5 linked regions of the Coturnix japonica genome follow. The protein of the gene in region 3 interacts with the protein of the main gene of each other region in a pairwise test. Links are inferred from orthologs where the notes say so. Each region holds a gene or a part of one and is shown on either strand. Other genes may lie near its edges. The genes, in order: PTPN4, ATXN1, CRK, PPFIBP2 and USP53.

Region 1 (3,513 bases), on a different chromosome or scaffold from region 3:
AAACTTGCTTGTGTGACGAGGGAGTCTCAAAAATTTGAACACTTGTAAATCTTGTTTCATGCTTGAATTTGGCTGTAGTGAAGCCGCGCTGTCACATGCATTCCCTTCTAAGACAATCAAGTCAGTTAAGAGAAAATCTTGAGTGGTAGATTTAAACAGCAAAATAAGTGAAATTCCAAAACGTACCTTTATTCGTATGCCTTTATTCTAAATTAAGTTGTAGAATGTGTTCCTGAATGTCCTTTGGATTTGTTAATTTAATACCTGACTTCCTGTGCGAGTCACCATAGAAATGAGTCTTAAAAAGAGAGGAAGTGTTTTTGCAAATTAGTTATGCAGCAATGAGTGTTCTTTTTCATGGTTTGCACGTTTTTTATTCCCTAAAAGAAAAAAAAAAAAAAAGAAGTATTGCTTTTCCTATTCAGAAGTTTGAAAGTGCAATTTAATCTCCCACTGTAATTACTTAGCGTGAGATATTTTTTAGAATAAGGAAATTGACTGTCAAAATATGAATCCTCAAAGATTCTTCTGAAACTTTCAGAGTATGGTGTTGGTTAAAGCTTTTACATTTATGAATAAAAGTGGTAGAGTAATTAAATGTATATTAAACATGTAAATAAAATGATTTTGTTGTCCAAAAATCGACTACTTAAACATTTTGGCCCTTCTGAGTTAGCAGGTTCAAACAGTGCATCTGCTAATTTACTGGGAATTCATATATGTAGATCAAATTTATATAGAAAAGCAAGTAAGAGGATCTAACCTGATGGTCAGTACAGTGATCTCATGATTTGGAGTCAATATAGCCAAAGAACTCAGTTATCCAGTGCGTATTAGGAGATTTTTGCTTAGATAATCCAGTCTTTAATTCTGTCTTTTTGTCTTCAGCTACATGTGTTATTCAGAACTGAGTTCTTTGTGCTCATAGCATACTGAGTTAATGATAAACTTAACTTCGAAAGGCACGTGATGTATATTTTAATAACCTTATGGCTATAGGTACGAAGTGTTTGCTTAATTTATTAAAAGGTCAGGCCGGATATCTGTAACAAAAATACACAGAGATTGTCAGTGTGAGGTTTTATGGGTTATTCTATTATTATGTAAATGGATGAATGCAGTAACAGAGAGCTCCTTTGCCTGCCAAGCAGGCTGCTTTCATGGCCATTGTCTGAGCATTCATAAGGAGATTCAAAGCTGACTGGGCAAATACAAAGCAATGAAGTTTTTGCCCAAGGCTTGATTGTTAGTTCTCACAATTCATTATGCTAATACATTACAGCGCTTGTCTTGCTTCTACTAAAATGCTCATCTGAGTAACTTTTCAATTCTTTTCTATAAGTTCGTATTTTCTTTGGGAATTTATTTGTGTTTGCTGACATACTTACAGGCGTCCAGTCAAACATAGGGTTCTATCTTTTACTTTTATCTGGATGCTTTTGTGTCTTCACAAAGGTTTTCCATTCCTTTTTCATTCCGTTTAGAACTCTCAGGAGTAATTGTTTTCAGGCAGATATGTAACTGTGTTGCCCTTGTCTTGAAAAGGATGAATAACCTGTGCCTCACGGACCTGAATGTATAAATACATGGGCAGCTGAACAGCTCTGGGTGACCTTTACAAGTGAATGTCTACATAATTTACAGCAGCCTTGAAAAATTCATTTTGCAGATGTTGACAATCATATTTTTTCTCTTTCCAATAAACTATCTTGAGGAAAAACTACTTATTCTGAAAAAAAAAAAACCAACCAAAAACCAACTTCTTAGTCAATTCCCCAAGATAGTTGTGTCACAAAAAACATTTATTTTCCAAAAGTTGAGGTTAAGCAAAAACACCTAATACAATATTAGGATTTATATTTATATAAATATATTTATATTACTGCCTTAGTTTTTACTACTTGCAGCAGCTTGAAATGCTGTGCTCTCTTCTAATGAGTCTCCCCCTCTGCTACCAGTTTATTGCAGCAAGCCCCATAGTAACTATAGTAGTACTCCTCACACAACAGTGCTGATAAGGAACAGTGTCCTATGTATGGCCTGCGGGAGTGTATTTCCTTCCCTCCACCTGGAGATTAGTCAGTTCACTTAGTTGATCCAGCAGCAAGCTACCCAGGCTTGTCCAAAAAGTCACAGCTTTGGCTTGTTTGGTGAGCTGGGTTGGCCAAGGGGAGATCACTGGAGCAATGCAGGGAAGGGGGCATGAGGAGCAGATGAAGAAGAGCAGCACTCACTTTTGGTGGTAGCATGCTCATAGGTTTAGCTGTAACCGGTAACTTCATTCCTTGTGGCTTTTGGATTTGCCACTAGTCTCAGTGGGCTGTTGTCACAAGTAGTGAAATTACTTAATATCTTTTAATGTGGTTCATGGGGAGGAAGGCATGTATCCGTGTTGGTAGTTAGAAACTGGCATTCAGACGAGGTTAATGGGAGAGCTATGTGCTAACTGCCTTTTTGAGCCTCTAAAAACCTACAGTGCCATGTAATGAAAGATGAATCATATATTTATGTAATACGAATTATACAGTTAAGCTTTTATTTCAAAGGGACTAATAAAGGAAATTATCCGTATTGCATGTAAACACAGGACTTCTTTGTTAATCTGCAGTACAGTGCTTGCAGAGCTAAACAGAAATAGAAGTTTCTGCCATTTCATTTTCAGTAACGGTGTTAAAACTCACTGAAAGTCTTATTGGGGAAAGCACTTTAATTGTTATGCATTTTAGATATGTATTTTTTAGCTGGAGCATACAGCATAAATATGGTGAGTGTTATAGTTTGTAAACATTAAATGTGCTGGAACCTTGGGGTTTTTATTTTAAAAACAAACAAAAACCAGCCACGTAAAAGTGAAACCTACTGGTTCAGTTACTTACAGTTGCTTTTCAAGAAAAAAATTACTAACGTTGCCAAGCCCACACTTCCAGTCTGTTCAACTGCAGCAGCACATTTTTGAGATTATGAGAACATATACATATTTTCAGGTCTCCAACTCATAGTCTCTCTAAGCAGTTTGTTTAGTTTACTTGGAATCCTTAAAGCGCCATCAGTATCTAATAATTTATACTTCGTACTTCTTGTATTTTGGTGTTTAGATCTCAAGAAACTCCTATAGATGGGCAGCCTCCTGCATTACCACCCAAACAATTTAAAAAGAACAGTTGGAACCAAATTCATCATTCACACTCACAGCAAGAACTGGATAACCACATCAATGAAACATTTGATGTCCCTGTATCTCCTGAAAAGTCCACAGTAAGTTTTTTAGATCTGGTTTAATTATCCTGCTTTTTATTTGAATGATTCTACTCCTTGTAAGCTTGATTTTGTTTTCAGGGATGTGCGAAGTTTGTGCATTACATTGCAGCATTTCGTAGGATCATCTTTTCATGCTTACCTGAGTCACAGTGAAGTTCTGTTTAGAAAAACAACTACTCAGGTCATCCGGTATTCAGTTATCTGTACCAAATGGACAAAAATAACTTTCAATAGTGTTTTTTTGGAACTCGCTTT
Region 2 (4,057 bases), on a different chromosome or scaffold from region 3:
ACTGTTAAAATATGCTTGTGCTCATAAAGCCGGTCTATAAGACAGTACCAACTCTCAGTCATGAGCTGTGCAGATTACCATGTTGTTAGCACATTCTCTAGGAAATATAGAGGACGAGTACAGTCATTCATAGAAGGGACTGCTTTGCTGATCTGCATACTGACAGAGCCCTAGGGTCTTTTGCATCCAGACTAACGCTAGATCCAATGCTGAAACACAGCGGTACTACCTGTGGACACACACGTGACACATCGGCACTACAGACATCTGCTCGGAGCTCACAGCTGTGCTGGGGGGGGGGGATTGGAAGAGGCTCAAACAACAGCCCGCTCTGGGCAGCCACGGCACAGGGAGCGCACGTGCTGCTCTCGGAGCCCTTCTGGAGCTGAGACCCAGCCTTGGGGGTTTATGCAGCATTTCGTGTGGTGACTTTGGGATGGGGAGAGGCTTTCCCGGCGCCGTGCGTGCCTTCCTGATGCCAAAGCAGAGCGAGCGGTTCCCTGCGCGGCAGTCGGGTTGCCAGCAAGCAGAGCAGACGCCGTCCCGTGCCTGTGTTCCTCCCATTCATTTATTCGGGGAGAGGCGGGCAGTGGTCTGCGCGCAGCCGGGAGAGACGAGCGAGGATTGTGCCGGAGCGCGTACGAGGAGCGCAGCGGGAGCGAGTACCCAAACATGCGTGGTGCAGCCCTGCCCGCCTCGTAGTGCGGCGACGGAATGAGTCAGAGCCTCTTTGGTCTGAATGAAGTGGAAGGTACTCTCTACAAAGCAACTCGAGCATACGCCAAGGATCCGGAAAAATAAAACTAATTCAGAAAACGGGAGTGGGATGCGGGCTCCTGCGCTACGACGCTTTGAACGGCAAAACGCAATATGGCATCTTAAATAAAATCACCCTCCCCTGACTCTCACGGCGCTGCCTCCGAGCCGTCCCTGGCTCGGGTTTATTTCCTCCCTTAGCGACAGCCCGGCCGAGGCCGCCGCTCCCGCATCCTGGCCCCGCTCTGCTCCCCCCGCTGGGCAGCGCGTCCCTCCCGGTGCCCGCCGGTGCGTCCCTCAGCACAGCGGGCGTCGGGGCGAGGAACGGCCGGGCTGGGGGGGTAAAAAGGGGGGAGGAGGAGGAGGGCGGCTCGGCCCCGGGCGGCCTCCAAAGGGTTAAGGCCGGCGGCCCCGGCGGTGCTGAGCGTATGCAATAATCTGTGTGGCTCTCTTGGCCGCCCGCCAGAGTGCTGCCTTGCCTCCTCCTCCTCCTCCTCCTCCCCCCCGCCCCCCCCTTTCGCGTGAAGTAGGATCCTTGAGCTGTTGCAGAGGCAGCCAACTGCTCCATATTTGGCTTCTATTACACATTTACATACTGGAGAGCGGAGCGGCAGCGAGCGCTGTACTGCAGACATCATTTCTACTACAGCGCCGGAGCAGCCCGGAGCGTGTCCCCGCGGGGGAAGGAGCCCTCACTTACACACACATACACACGCACACATATACACACACACACACACATACACACCCGCAGACCCCCACCCCGGGAGGACGGCGGTGCTCGAGTCTCAGTCCGACCCCCCCCGCCAGCCCCACCTCCACTGACACTTTACAGTAAGTGCCTTTTTCTTCCTCCTCTGCTTTCTGCCCCTCCACCCCCCCCGCTCCTCCTCCTCCTCCCCCGGCTTCTCCCCTTGTTTGGGCTGCGGAGCCGCCCGCGGTTCCCGGCTGGAAAAACACGGGGCTGGGGGCGGCTCTGTGCGTGTATATGTGTGTATGTGTGTGTGTGTATATGTGTGTGTGTGTGTGTATATGTGTGTGCGGGGGGGCAGCGCTGCGGCCCGGCCTCAGGGCCCGGCCCGGGCGGGGGCCGCGACATGGCCGAGGGCAGCGGCCTGGGCCCGGGGCCGGGGCTCGCACGGCCCTCCCGCTCCTCCTCCTCCTCCTTCCTTCTCCCTCACCCCGCCGGCAGGGTGGACATTTTGCGAGCGGCGGCCTCGGGGTGTGTGTTTGTAGCCGGGTGTGTATGTGTAGATGTGTGTGTGTGTGTGTGTGTGTGTGTGGCGGTGCGGTGCGTGACGGGGTGGTGACACGGCCCCTCCGTGTGTGTGTGTGTGTGTGTGTGTGTGTGGGAGAGAGGAGGGGGGGGGCCGCGGCCGGGCCGCACGGCGCATGTAGTAGGGGCTGGGCGGCCGCTGAGGGTGAATGAAGCGAGCGGGCGGCGGAGGAGGCGGCGCTGGGACGGGGATGTGGCCGGCGGCCGCCCCGCGCCGCTGCTGTCGGGGCCCAGGCCGCCTGCGGACAACGCCCGGTACCGCCGCCGGGGGAGCGCGGGCGGGAGGGCCGCGGGGCAGCGCCACTTTAACCCCGGCCGGAGCTCGGGGTCGGGTCGGTGTCGTTCGCTATTACCCCACCCCCACCCCGGTAGGGACGCGGACGCCGCGATCCGCGAGCGCGATTCCTGGGGGTATCGAAGTCTCAATTAAACGCGCTGCGAAACGTCAGCGCCCGCTGTAATAGCGATAAGAACGCGACGGAGCGGGGAGCGCAGAGGAGGAATTACCGAGCGGCACTGACGGAGGAGCAAACAAGTCGGAAGCCGTTATATAATGCGGGGAGCGGCGGCTGGTTGGGCGCCGCTGACCGCACGGAGCGCAGCGCCGGGCCGAGCCGTGTGGGGGGACATCCCGCTCGGTGCCGGGCGCCGCGGGCTGTTTGTCCGTCCGTCCGTGCGTGCGGCGGCGCAATGAGGGCTTTTAATTTCGGTTTCGAGCCCTTCCGCGGCGGTGCGGGCCCGGGCCCTTCACGCAGCCCTTCGGAGACCGCCCGGCCCCGCTCCGCCGAACGATGAGAGAGCGCTGCTATGGCAACAGACAGCCCCGGCCGCTCAGGTGTGCGCGCCGTGAGCCCCGCCGCCTCCGTGCGGGGTGCGGGGACAGGGACGGGGGGAGGCACCGCACAGCGGCTCCGTCAGGGCGCTGCGGGAGCACGGAAACTTTGCCGCTGCTCCTCGCACCCAGCCCGGCTCCGTAGGGCCGGGAATTGTTGGTACCGCTGGGAACGTGAGCAAGGAGCTGTGCGCTGAGGGGCAGCCGGCTTCCTTTGCCCTCGGTGAACAAACCCGAGGGGGCATATCGTATAAACATCGCCACGCGGCTCGTTGCTGATATTCCGATTGATACCACTTTGCGTTTGTGCTCGTTAACATACAGCAGAGAGCGAAACTTTCCGCCCCGTACGGCGTGTTGCCGTGTTGGAGCGGGCAGTGCGGCTCCTGCCCTCCCGGAGCAGCTCATGCCGGCCCTTCCCCTCGTTGCCCGCACACGGGCGCAGGCGTCGCTTCGTGCAGGCACCGAATGTGGCGCTGAGTCGTAATGCCGCGGGCCTGGAGCGGCTCCAGGGGCTGCTTGAGAGCCGCGCACACCGTGTGTATATCTGGGGTAGCTCCGCTCGTTGGACTCCGGCCAGGCGCAGAGCAGAGTAGCAGAGCTCAGGCGCTGATCCGCTGCCTGCAGCCATCGTTTTCCCAATATCTTACCACGGCAAAAAGCAACGTGGGATTTTTTTTGCCCCCTGGAGGTGCCGCGTTAGCCACGTGCGTCCACGCTGCTACGGAGCGCAGCCCGGAGCACTTCGCATCTCGGCGGTGAGAAGCTGCCGGCACCGTGAAGCACACACACAATCACAGCATCACAGAATGACCCGGGTTGGAAGGGACCTCAAGGATCATGTAGTTCCAACCCCCTGCCTGGCAGGGCCACCAAACATACACATTTACTAGATCAGGAGCACCGGAGCTCCCCGGCAGCCCCTGGGCAGTGCACGGTGCCGGCAACTTCTCACCGCATCTCTTCTCCCTGCCCTGCTGTGATTTACTCGGAGAGGCTGAAGGAACCGGTCTTTTATTGTAAGAGACATTTACAAGAGGCCTGGAATTGCACTTAACGAACATTTTTATGTAATAGATCCAGTGGCCTAGTTTCATCTTAATTAAGAAAATAGACGTTAGATGCGCTCACCTGAAAAGCAACTGATTGAAACATTAGGATGCGAAAGTATTGGTCTCAGAGCAAAATGAAGG
Region 3 (4,103 bases):
GCCTCCCACCTGTAAGATAGAATATTTTTCCATTGGGATACTGTGAAGGTTCATACAAAACACAATACCAAAGCCACTCCATGAGACAGTCACAGGGCTTCCCAATGCCTCACAAGAAAGCAAAGGTGCTGTGAGCCAGCACATGCACTTGCACAGTTAAGGGCAGCTGTGCTCCATGTTTATGCAAGTGCTGCCACATGGAGGCCACACAGTTGAAAATACACATTCCTTTGGGGGAAAAAAAAAAGCTTATAGAATTGAGCAGAGCTGGAATGGAATTGTCTATGCAGTTATCCAGACTCTGAAGATGTTACTCTGGAACTTGAAGCTAATCTAAACTTGGTACCTATTTCTCCATCCTTATAATTCTTAATGGTGCATACACCCACATGCACATTCCCCTGCAGCAGAAATGGAAGTGAAGCAACTTTATCTGCAGGCTCCTGCGGTCAGTGATCTTCTCAGGGTCAGAAACAGCTTGTTTTTCCACAGGGCTCTACTTAACACAGAACATCTCCCTGGGAAGGGTTTTCCAGTGGTTTTCCATGCAAACAGCTGTGAGGCAGGAAAATGCAGCTGGCTGGGAAGGTGAAAGCACCAACTGCAGGTGGCAGCTTCTCTCTGAAGGAAAAAAGACAATGAATTGAATCCTCAATGGAGGGACAGGAAGATGATCAGGGGCTGGAGCACCTCCCCTCTGAGGACAGGCTGAGGGAGTTGGGTTTGTTCAGCCTGGAGAAGAGAAGGTTGCGGGGTGACCTCATTGCAGCCTTTCAATACCTGAAGGGAACCTATAACCAGGAGGGGAGTAAACTCTTGGAAAGGGCTGACAATAGCAGGACACGGGGAAATGGTTTGAAGTTAAAAGAGGGAAGATTTAGGTTGGATGTCAGGGGGAAGTTCTTCACTAGGAGAGTGGTGAGGCCCTGGAACAGGCTGCCCAGGGAGGTTGTGGATGCCCCGTCCTTGGAGGTGTTCAAGGCCAGGTTGGACGGGGCCATGGGCAACCTGATCTAGTAAAGGTGTATGTTTGGTGGCCCTGCCAGGCAGGGGGTTGGAACTACATGATCCTTGAGGTCCCTTCCAACCCGGGTCATTCTGTGATCCTGTGGGTGCCCAGACGGACCCTCCGCACTCACAATCAGGTCTCACCTACAAGGCAGCACACACACAGCTCCCCTCAGACCCTGCGCTCCACCCAACGCGCATGCGCAGCCCCCACAGGCCGCCAACCGTCCCCAAGGCCGCGCGTTGTGATGACGTCACGTATCCCCCCGCGTCTCCCGCGTGCGGTCACTTCCGGTAGGTGAGGTCAGGGTAGGGGCCGCCATTTTGGTGCGGTAGGGCTGGGCGCGGAGCTGGGCACCGCGGGCGGCGGCGGCCCGCGGGGCGGGGGCAGCGAGTGCGGCCTGCGGGCGGGACGGCCCCCATGGCCGGGCAGTTCGACTCCGAGGACCGGGGGAGCTGGTACTGGGGGCGGCTGAGCCGGGCCGAGGCGGTGTCGTTGCTTCAGGGGCAGCGCCACGGGACCTTCCTGGTGCGAGACTCGGGCACCATCCCCGGAGACTTCGTCCTGTCGGTGTCTGAGAGCTCCCGCGTGTCGCACTACATCGTCAACAGCCTGGGGCCGGCGGGAGGACGAAGGGCCGGCGGAGAGGGCCCCGGGACCCCGGGTGAGTGACCCCCAGGGCTGGCCGTGCCCATCAGCCGCTGCGGGCCCCGCTCTGCGCCTGGTCCCTGCAGCTCCGCTCTGCTCACGGCCGGGTCTGAGAGTCGTGGTGGAGTCGTGTTGTGTTGGAGTCGTGTTGCTCTTTGTAGAGGACTTAATTCAATCTCGCCTTGCAGCCGTTTCCCTGCACCTGCCTCGCATCTAAACGATGGGACAGAGCGCAGCCCGGAGCCGTCACACTTTTACAGCTTTATGCCTTCTTTCGTTTTGTTTTAATTTGTGGGTGAGGTGTGTCAGCGTGGAGATGGATCCCTGGAAGTGTCAATTCAAAGGTTGAATTGGGTTGGAATAGTTGAGAGTTAAGAGGACAGATTGTGAGGCTAAACTTAGTCGTGAATCAAAGCTGGGTGGGAGCAGTGTAAAGGCGTTTGTTCCTTTAGATCAGATACGGAATTCAGGGTTCCCCCTCCTACACACACCTTGTGTTGTAAAGGGAGATTTGATGTTATTCCTCATCAACCTCTAATACAAACATAATGTACTTAAGTTAACCCTTGAAGTGTTGCTTTTGCATTGCAGAAAGCAATGATTCTGAACGCACAAGTGACCTGGAGCCTTCAGCAATGTATAATCTATCGATGTGTGATGAGAAGGTTGAATTAAGCAGCAGCCCTGATGGGGGCATTGCTGATGTTGGCGGTGGAGCCGCTCCTGTCTGGATGTTAATGCTCACAGAATGATGTGGGCGAATTGCTGGCATCTCTGAGAAACCACTACAAAGTCTGGAAGGCTGTATAATAAGGCTGTGTAATAGGAGAGCTAATGAACCTGACGAGGAGTGAAGTTAGGACATAGGTTGCTACAGAGACAGAAAGGCTGTGCAGACTGTAGTTGATAAAGAAGGAATCTGTTGGTGGTGGGTGGGTTTGCACCATTCTACAGTGATCTCTCCTGATTGGGGTAACGTTTAGAATTGACAAACTGGGGAAAGCCTGAAGTCATTGGGTTCATCACAGGAATCTGCCGCTGCTGTAAGGTGTGCTTCAGTCACACAAAGCTCTGCAATGCAGGAGATAAAGGTGGCTGCATTGAACTGGAAGCGAAGCGGGTAGTGAAGTGGTTTACCACAAGATACATTCGGTTCCTCAGCGTTTCATGTCTTATCAAGGCAAAGGTTTATTTTCATAGGTTGATGTGTGAAACGTGTGGTTGTTACACAGAGCAGAATAAGCTTCTATGGTGATTTGTAGTGGAGTCCATCCTGAGCTTTATTACTTTTTGGAAGTCCACTTTTTCCCCACCTTGATGTTATTGGAATAGGTGCTGCTTTGCTTTCACACCAAAGGTATTTTTGTGCTGAAATTCAAGTGGGTTTAAATGAATGTCATGCTGATGCTGTGCGCTTTTCACGCTCAAAGGAAGAAAGTGTGTGTGTAGTAAGTTACGTTTAACCTGTAATTAAGAATTTCCTCCAGGGAGAAATGTTCTTTAAAGGAAGGGACGTGCTATTATTGCTATAAGGTTGAAGATGATTTCAGGTTTGGATGGGGAAGGTAGTGCAGTGAAATGAGGTAAATGTTCACAAGTAGCTATTTTGGAAAAACCAACTTTACCATGTCAGTTTTCTATATGGTCTACTTATTTTTATTGCAATTGATTGTTTGACAGATGCACACAACTCACTGGAAAGCCTAAATATGCCCGGTCAGGTTCCTGTGTTGATTTATTGGCTTCAGGTGATTGAAATGCATGTGTGATTTGTGACTGCTTGTACCCTGCTGTGTGCAGGTGACAGTAGGAACCTGACTTTAAACCCATCACGTCTTTGCAGTTTGACATACAAGGATAGGGCCGTGATGTCTGGTGTACACTCAAACATCTAAAGACATCAGGCCAGAAGCCTGAAAGCCTTAACGTTTTTCTTTATGACATAGAGAAGTGTGACAGAGTGGAAGGTGATGTTTTCAGTAAGTATTATGCGTCTTAAGAACGTGCTTATTGCGCTCCATTGTGATTTTCTGAAGGATTCAGGCTGCACTTCCTGGACTCATGTTTTTATAGAGCATTCCTGAGTGCTTGTCTCAGTAGTGAGCAGACAGGCACTGAAGAACAAGGAGAAGAAGGTGTCGGAATGAAGGTGGGGGAAACAGGCAGAAGGTTTTGCCTCTGTTGCAGAGTTGCTCTAGGAGGAAGGCTGTGATATGTTGCTGTGATGTGTTCAGAGTGAGAGCCTCGTGTCTCAGCACCCTGAACACCAAGAACAGCCTTTCTTTCCCCAAATGTGCTTTTGAAGATGGGGGTAGGGGTTTGTGGGGTGTGTCTAGAGATGAAATTGAAAACCTATATTCCTGTTAAGTCTCCCATGCCCTAAAAAGGAAAGCTTACCAAAGCTTAGGGATAAAGAGAAAACTGCCTAGTGGCACGGACGGGATGG
Region 4 (3,513 bases), on a different chromosome or scaffold from region 3:
TGCTTCTTGGGATGACTGAAGATCGCATCAGGAGTGTCAGTGCACCCGTGCTAGGTATCGTATCCAAACAAGATGCAACTTGAACGTGAATTTTGCTGCTTATTTTTTCCTTTCCTTTTTCCCTCCCTTCCTCTTCTCTGTAAAATACTAACACTGAGTGCACAGTCCAGACTGAGCTCCTTAAGTTTAGCACTGAAATGAAACCTTTAGCTGCATAGCATTCAGACGGGATTTTGGTGTTGTTTTTTAAGATATTTATTCTTGGTCTTATTTTGCTTTCACTGAAGTCAACAATAAAATTCCCGCTGATTGTGACAGATGAATTTTGTTATTAAAAATAGGAAACACAAGAGCAGATCAAGATCTGGAATTAAGGTTTTAAAATAAACTGAAAAAACAATATTATAGTAACTTTTTCTTGTATCAAAAGCACAACTACTTTTTTTTTATATTATTTTTATGCAATAACATTTTTACAGCTATCTGTACTTTATGTTTTTTAAGAATTAGTCTGCCATAGAACAACCTTGTCACATTTGGTACTAATTATTGACAATTATTGTTGTTAACCCAGGAGAAACAGAGAACATGGATGGTACAGTAGTCTCAGATGATCTTTCACCTCTTTCTTCGGGAACGGATTCGGGTCCACAGTCTCCACTGTCTCTAGAAAACAGAAAGAGTCCAAAAGGGATCAAGAAAATCTGGGGAAAGTAAGATCATGTTTTTTAGTTCCTTGTCACAGAATTTCAAACTGAGAATTCAATCAGTTCTCATGAAAAGATACAGCAAGTGTAAAATGAAACTCAGGAGAAGGAGGGAAAGCAGCTTTCTGATTGCATAGGTGTGTCTGTCTGTACACACGGGTGGAGGAAAGCGGATGGTAAGGTTCAGAGTGCCACACTAGTTGAAGAAATTATATATTCTACTGTGTTATTGTGCTGACAATTGAGAATACCAAGTTTTACTGTGTTCCTTCTATTTGGACTGCAGCCGTTTACAAGCCTGGCTTCTGATGTGAATTATTATTTGAGTTGAAGGGTCATGGCTGCTTTGCAAAGCTTTTCTTTCTTTTCTGAGATAGGTCTAGACAGTTTGCCTGCTACTTCATCAGCTGCTGCTTGAATCAGATGTTTGTGCTTTACAGGAAGATTAATACAACTTCTAGCTGTCATTATAGTTTCCATATGAAACAGTTTGCTGCCGGATGCTAACAGCACTGTCTTGGCACTCTTGTTTTGAAAGGATAAGAAGAACTCAGTCTGGTAACTTCCCTGCAGACGATCTGGGTTTGGCAGAGTTTCGAAGGGGTGGTCTCCGTGCAACAGCTGGACCTCGGTTATCCAGATCAAAGGAAACCAAAGGCCAGAAAAGGTAACAGTTTTTCTTTTCTTTTGCACAAGGTATAATATAGTATTGTTAAATACACTGAACAGCAAAATGTTCCTCATTTGAAATATGCATTAACATACTTAATTACACGTGGAATTCAATTCCACAACTGGAAATAATTTCTCTGGTAGAAAGTGTAGCCAAAGCAGTTTCCCATCTGCACTCCTTCAACTGCAGGGAGCAGCAGCAAAATGTCACCAGAAAATTTCTCATCATCTCCTGTGGGGAATATCTGCAGCCATCAAGATTCCGCAGTTACCTTTTTCTGTCCTTTCCCATTTCTATTTGAAACTTTTATCTTCCTGCCCTGCCTCAAATGACCAGTAGAGGAAGCTGGGCAGTCAAATTTAGAAAATGCTTGTACCACAGCATGTACTGCAAGAATGGCTGCTAGAGCTGATTACTGCACAATACAGATCACACTGGGACCTGGCCTGTAGCATCTCCTCTAGTCTGTGATGGTCTTCCTTATAATTTCCATCGTCTTTCCTTTATGGCTTTTAATGAGTTCTATTATTTTTCAGTGACTACAATGCTCCATTCGCTCAGTGGAGTACTGAAAGAGTTTGTAACTGGCTTGAGGACTTTGGTCTTGGGCAGTACGTCATTTTTGCCCGGCAGTGGGTGACTTCAGGCCATACACTGTTAACTGCAACACCTCAGGACATGGAAAAGGTAATGCATGTACCTGTTTCTCTTAAGTAAACTCCAGTTGCTTCTGTATAACCAGGCCCCTTCCAACAATGGGCAATTCTACATCTTTGAAATGTTTTCATGTTTGTTTTACCTCTGGCTCTCCTCATCTCATTAAACTATTTGTTAATGATTATTATTACAGGAAATGGGAATAAAGCACCCACTGCACAGGAAGAAATTAGTTTTGGCCATTAAATCAATAAACACAAAACAAGATGAGAAGTCTGCACAACTTGATCATATCTGGGTGACACGTAAGTGCTTGAAGAATTACACAGAAAAGTTTGTGTTTCTCTTGTATAGTGAAGTAGGAATTAACAGAAAACTCAAGTATTTTCAGATCAATCATCAGATGAATTTTTCTCCGAGCAGATGACTGTATGGGTCTATCTGCACATTCGGCACAGTCTCAAGTGTAAAAGAGCACTGGGTTGAATACTTCATAAAGCACATATCGTGTAATAACCTGATGATGGCATCCGTGTTTCACAAATTGCTCCACAACTTTGCTGCAATCTGAATGGTAGAGTTCCCATGCAAAGTTCATTCTATAAAACAGCATCTTTATTTGAACGTTCAGAATGGCACAAAAATCATCGTTCTATGAAATAACTTGTCCTGTTGAAACTTAGCGCTCTTAAAAAGATGCCTGGTGACTGCTCAAACATGCACGTGTCTCAGGCAGCCCATCCTTCTTGAGGGAGAATGAATATAAATAGGGGTGGGAGGTCTCAGTCTAGCAAGAGCTAAATTACACTGCACAAAGTACATACTTAAAATACAGCAGAGGTATTGTTGACAAAGCTGGCTGCTGGAAATTGCTTTAAGGTTCCGTTAAGAGGATGTCCTTTGGAAAGTGAATAGGTAGAACAGCTACTGGAGTGCCTCAGAAGAAGCCGGCTTCATTCTCACTGACAGAGATTTGGATACACCATTGTTTTTCTACCTGCAGGCTGGCTTGATGATATTGGTTTACCTCAGTACAAAGACCAGTTTCACGAGTCCAGAGTTGATGGGAGAATGCTGCAGTACTTAACTGTGGTAAGCTCAAATCTTTTTTGCCAAACTCTGAACTTCATAATGAGCAAAGAATTGCAGTTTTTTTTGCAAGCCAGAAACAGTACAGGTAGGAACTTCTATGTATTGTTTAGTGCAACATTACTTGTTTTACACACCTCAAGAATAGTAATACAGTGTTATAACTGACTTCCACATGAAGTTTTTCTTTCAGTCCCACATAACACACTGACAGTAAAATGACCTAGTTTACACACAGCTTCTTGAATGTTTTGTTCTCCTCACTAAGTTATCAACAACATTATGTAATATAAGGGTAAGCAACAAATCCAGTAACTTGTACAGCTCTCATCAAATTAGCAGCAATACAAACAATACATACACCCATTATATTTACTTAGTAGAATC
Region 5 (3,945 bases), on a different chromosome or scaffold from region 3:
GACTAGAAATACAAGTACTCATGAACAAACCATTCCTTTCGCAAATAACAAAAGGAAGCACCCCTCCCTCCCCAAAATAATACAGCAGATAAAATAATAGGAACGCGACTGGGGTAATGACCCAAGGGCAGCTCTTTAGGTGATACAGTGCAGGGTCTGCGAGTGCAACGTGCACTGAGATGCAACGCAGCTTCGGGATGTGTGTGCTCGGGGTGTGTGTGCTCGGGATGTATGTGCTCGGGGTGTGTGTGTGCTCTGGATGTGTGTGTGCTGGGGATGTGTGTACTCGGGATGTGTGTGTGCTCTAGATGTGTGTGCTCGGGGTGTATGTGTGTGCTCGGGGTGTGTGTGTGCTTGGGATGTGTGTGTGCTCTGGATGTGTGTGTGCTGGGGATGTGTGTACTCGGGATGTGTATGTGCTCTAGATGTGTGTGCTCGGGGTGTATGTGTGTGCTCGGGATGTGTGTGTGCTCGGGGTCGGCCCGCACAGCCGCCCTCAGCCCAGCAGCAGCCCTGTGCCTGCGTTCCCTCATAGGCACCTTCAGCCGGGCCCACGTGCGGACAGATATCCTGCAAGGAGCACCGGGGAACAATTGCTGGAAAAGCAACGGCTGCCCCGTTCTTTTGAGCAGGTTATTAACACGAAAAACCGGTGGTTTGGAACAGCCCCAACACAGGCTTCCTGCCCTGCAACCCGCAGCTCTCAGAGCCGCTCCCTCACAGTTACCTGGGGCACGGCTTGCGCTGCTTCTACACACGGGGTAAGCACGCCCTTCGCACGCAGGCGATGTGCTGAGAACGGCACTAAGGGAACGGGGAAGGAAGGGCTGCTGCAGCCCCAAGGCTTCACAGTGCAGCACGACAGGCCGCCCTGCAGCCTCCTCCCCACGTTCATTCAGCACAGCGGGCTGTACGGCGCGCACCCCATGCCCACCAAACCCCGAAGTCACGAAGGGCTCGGGCAGCGCCCAGCCTACTGCGCATGCGCCCCGCTCCCGCTCCCTCCTCCCGCTTCCTGGCGCCGGGATCCCGTCCGTCCCGGCCACGGCGCCGCTCCACTGCGCGTGCGCATCGCCCAGCTGGGCGGAGGCGGCTCCCGAGGCGGGGTGGGCGCACGCGCACGCGCCGCCCCGCAGGGCGAGACGCGGGGAGACGGAGGAGGGGACGGCGGCGGGAGGGGGAGCAAAAGTTGCCGTGAGGGCGGGGCGGCGGCTGGAGTCTCCGCCGGGAGGGGGCGAGAGAGGAGCCTACGGAGGGTGCCGCCGGACACGGGAGGTGAGGCGGGGGGTGCCCCGGAGGAGCCGAGCTGGGGAGGGGTGGGAGGACTCGCCCGCACCGGCCGGGATGGGGCGGGCTGTGCGGGGGCTGCTTCGCCCGAGGGCGGCGGGCGGCCGCGGGTCCCGTCCCGCGCGGGGCCGTTGTGAGGGGTAGAACCGCCGTGTGCTCAGCGGTGCGGAGCGGCTGGACGCAGCCCGGGGCCAACGGCGGCCGCTCCGCTCCGCACCGCGTTGTCCCCGCTGGGCGGGTTGTGTAAGCGGCGTTAGGCCGGCACGGCTCGATTCGGCTCCGAGCAGTACGCGGACCGCGCGCGGGACGGGCTGAGTTCGGGGGTTGTCTCGCTGAGGGCCAGAAGTTAATGTTTAACGCCGTAGTCACATGCCCGTCAGCGAGCTCCGCCGGAGTGTTTTCGGAGTGTTTGGAACAGGAAATGCCGGTGCAGGTAGCGTGGAACTCGGTGAAATTTAATCAGTTCCCAGCGTTTGCAGCCGCACGAGCAGCGCTCCGGGTGCAGGTGGGTGTCTGGCTGCATGCAAACTGCTCGGCATCCGTCGCTCCGACTGTCTCTTGCTTTGATTTTCAATGCAAATACGTTAAAAGATACTTTCCAGAGGTGATACCTTGTTTTCTCAGCGCGTATTTTTCTCTTCCCGAAGTAAGTGTGGGTTTTATGTGTCTGCTTTTAACCCCTTGTTTTGCACGTGTTTTGCTTTGAAGTTTTGGGGTTTTATAAGAGCAAATATTGGATCGTGTGAATGGATTGTGCCGGACTGCTGATGTGCAGCCCCTTCTCCTGTTGTCCCCGTGTTGTCCTCTCGTGAAGTGATGACTTTGGCTATGGAAACAGCGAGAGTTTGTTATGATCTGAATGCACGTTGCTCTAAAGAAAGAACAAGTGATCTTCTACCTTAACAGTGCTGCAATGTAGGATGTAGTTACTGTTTGTCAGGATTTTTAATATCAACTCACTTCTGTAAAAAGTTTTTACCCTGGACCGGTGAGATGCTGATAGGAAAAACACCAAAACTGTACTTGATTTTACTATCCAAACTTGATAGTGCAGAATCTTTAGATATAAAGGATACATGGTGTACAGCAGGAAGAATCGTCTGTTTGTGGGATCCACGAGGCTTCAGGGTCAATGTTAGTGCTGTCACGTTTCAGTTACATTGTTTTCCAAGGTCTCGATTGCAACACTTGTATGGTTTTTCCTCAGTTATTGGTGCTGGATGCAGTAAAAATCTGTGTCAGTTGAGGGGCACAGCAACAGGAGTGAAGCCTGTTCAAAAGCTTCTTCAGAAATGCTTTTTTGGCTGCAGTGGAAGCACTTTGGATTTTGGCAGGGCACGGTGAAACATTGATGTGCTGAAGCTGTACCAAGGTTATGGACTTGTTGGTGTTTAAGCTGCGTGGGCTGAGGAAGAAGGGTTGTAGAAAGCGAGCTTTGGGGCAAGAAATAGAAACTTGATGTTTTTCACATCTGGTAATTATCAAACATTCCAGAGAACAAAACACTTCAGAAATGACTGAGAAGCCGTCAAACAAAAATCTCTGTAGTTTGTTGTTGTGTTTAAGAATGTGTCTCCGTGTGTTCGTGAGCTGTCAGTGAGGAAGGATAGTCAGGAATAGCACTCTGGGGGTTTCAACACCTTCAGGTTGGTTCGGTACCTTGGTGGGTCTTGTATTTAACATATGCTGATACTTGAATTCAGCAGGGAGGAATGCTCGTATGAGAAAACTCAAAGATAACTTGCTGCTTTAGGGCATTTGGGCTCTACATTTTTTACAGGCGAGACACTCTGCTGCCTTCTCTGCTGCTTCTGTCCTACTTCTCCATCTGCATTCATTAGTGTGAGTTTCTATGCTTGATGATTCACTGTAAATGCTGGCTCGTGTCATGTCTTGGGAATTTGTCTTTAAGATCTTTCCTCAGTGTTGCCATTGTGGCTGTTTCTAAAGTCAGTTCCTAGTTGCGACAGTTGGGAGATGCTGCTGTGAACCTGTTGTTTTCTTTTAGATGCAAACAGGAAAGTTTTCATTGGAACAGTTTAAAGAAAAAATTGTATGCTTTTAACAGGAGCCATCTGTGATAGCATCTACGCTTCTGATTCTCCCATCCTGAAAGGATATGAATAAGTCTGACATCACAGAGCAGTGATGTAGCTTTTGAGGGACCGCTAAATGGATGTGGGCAAGAGGAGAGACAATGGAGATATTTAAAATAGAAGTTTGGTTCTAAAGTCTTCAGACTTTGGGTGGAAGTATTTCAAGAGAGAAGGCTGTGAAATAACGCTTCTGTCTCCTGGGGACTTTCTGAGCCAGTGTTGAGAGGTAGAAGGAATGTGCCAGCCCAATAGTACTGCTGCTGTGCCTGCCGTTACCCCATGAAATCAGGGCTAATTGGCACAGCCGGAGATGCGATTTAATTGGTTTTAGAAATGTTCTTGTTGCAAATCATGTCTTGCGAGTATGTGCTCTTAGTAATGAAAGGTTTTTTGCTCTATCTGATGTTTCAAATACTGAATCATAGAATTACCCAGGTTGGAAAAGACCTTGGAGAGATCATCAAGTCCAACCAAGCCTAACCAGTACCCTAACTCTAAAAACCCTCCACTAAATCATATCCCTGAGCACCACGTCCAAACAGCTCTTAAACACAACCAGGGA

Evidence for each region.
Region 1: the proteins of CRK (region 3) and PTPN4 interact in binary tests that used the Homo sapiens proteins (3 or more experiments, as listed by UniProt). The link is inferred for Coturnix japonica from reciprocal best matches to the Homo sapiens genes CRK and PTPN4.
Region 2: the proteins of CRK (region 3) and ATXN1 interact in binary tests that used the Homo sapiens proteins (3 or more experiments, as listed by UniProt). The link is inferred for Coturnix japonica from reciprocal best matches to the Homo sapiens genes CRK and ATXN1.
Region 4: the proteins of CRK (region 3) and PPFIBP2 interact in binary tests that used the Homo sapiens proteins (3 or more experiments, as listed by UniProt). The link is inferred for Coturnix japonica from reciprocal best matches to the Homo sapiens genes CRK and PPFIBP2.
Region 5: the proteins of CRK (region 3) and USP53 interact in binary tests that used the Homo sapiens proteins (3 or more experiments, as listed by UniProt). The two-hybrid records come from large-scale screens. The link is inferred for Coturnix japonica from reciprocal best matches to the Homo sapiens genes CRK and USP53.

The regions. Positions count from the first base shown.
Region 1 is NC_029522.1:21,505,579-21,509,091, reverse strand, and holds part of PTPN4 (tyrosine-protein phosphatase non-receptor type 4), read left to right. Parts: intron 1-3,095; coding exon 3,096-3,255; intron 3,256-3,513. UniProt on the Homo sapiens protein: Phosphatase that plays a role in immunity, learning, synaptic plasticity or cell homeostasis. Regulates neuronal cell homeostasis by protecting neurons against apoptosis.
Region 2 is NC_029517.1:67,238,891-67,242,947, forward strand, and holds the start of ATXN1 (ataxin-1), read left to right. Parts: upstream 1-1,250; 5' UTR 1,251-1,590; intron 1,591-2,120; exon of another isoform or gene 2,121-2,364; intron 2,365-2,395; exon of another isoform or gene 2,396-2,867; intron 2,868-4,057. UniProt on the Homo sapiens protein: Chromatin-binding factor that repress Notch signaling in the absence of Notch intracellular domain by acting as a CBF1 corepressor. Binds to the HEY promoter and might assist, along with NCOR2, RBPJ-mediated repression. Binds RNA in vitro.
Region 3 is NC_029534.1:3,973,275-3,977,377, forward strand, and holds the start of CRK (adapter molecule crk), read left to right. Parts: upstream 1-1,300; 5' UTR 1,301-1,429; coding exon 1,430-1,673; intron 1,674-4,103. UniProt on the Homo sapiens protein: Involved in cell branching and adhesion mediated by BCAR1-CRK-RAPGEF1 signaling and activation of RAP1.
Region 4 is NC_029520.1:11,725,888-11,729,400, forward strand, and holds part of PPFIBP2 (liprin-beta-2), read left to right. Parts: exon of another isoform or gene 1-21; coding exon 22-54; exon of another isoform or gene 55-574; coding exon 575-713; intron 714-1,245; coding exon 1,246-1,374; intron 1,375-1,916; coding exon 1,917-2,067; intron 2,068-2,230; coding exon 2,231-2,342; intron 2,343-3,040; coding exon 3,041-3,129; intron 3,130-3,513. UniProt on the Homo sapiens protein: May regulate the disassembly of focal adhesions. Did not bind receptor-like tyrosine phosphatases type 2A.
Region 5 is NC_029519.1:49,032,566-49,036,510, reverse strand, and holds the start of USP53 (inactive ubiquitin carboxyl-terminal hydrolase 53), read left to right. Parts: upstream 1-1,142; 5' UTR 1,143-1,275; intron 1,276-1,408; exon of another isoform or gene 1,409-1,792; intron 1,793-3,945. UniProt on the Homo sapiens protein: Deubiquitinase that mediates 'Lys-63'-linked deubiquitination of tight junction proteins, such as MARVELD2 and LSR, and which is involved in the survival of auditory hair cells and hearing.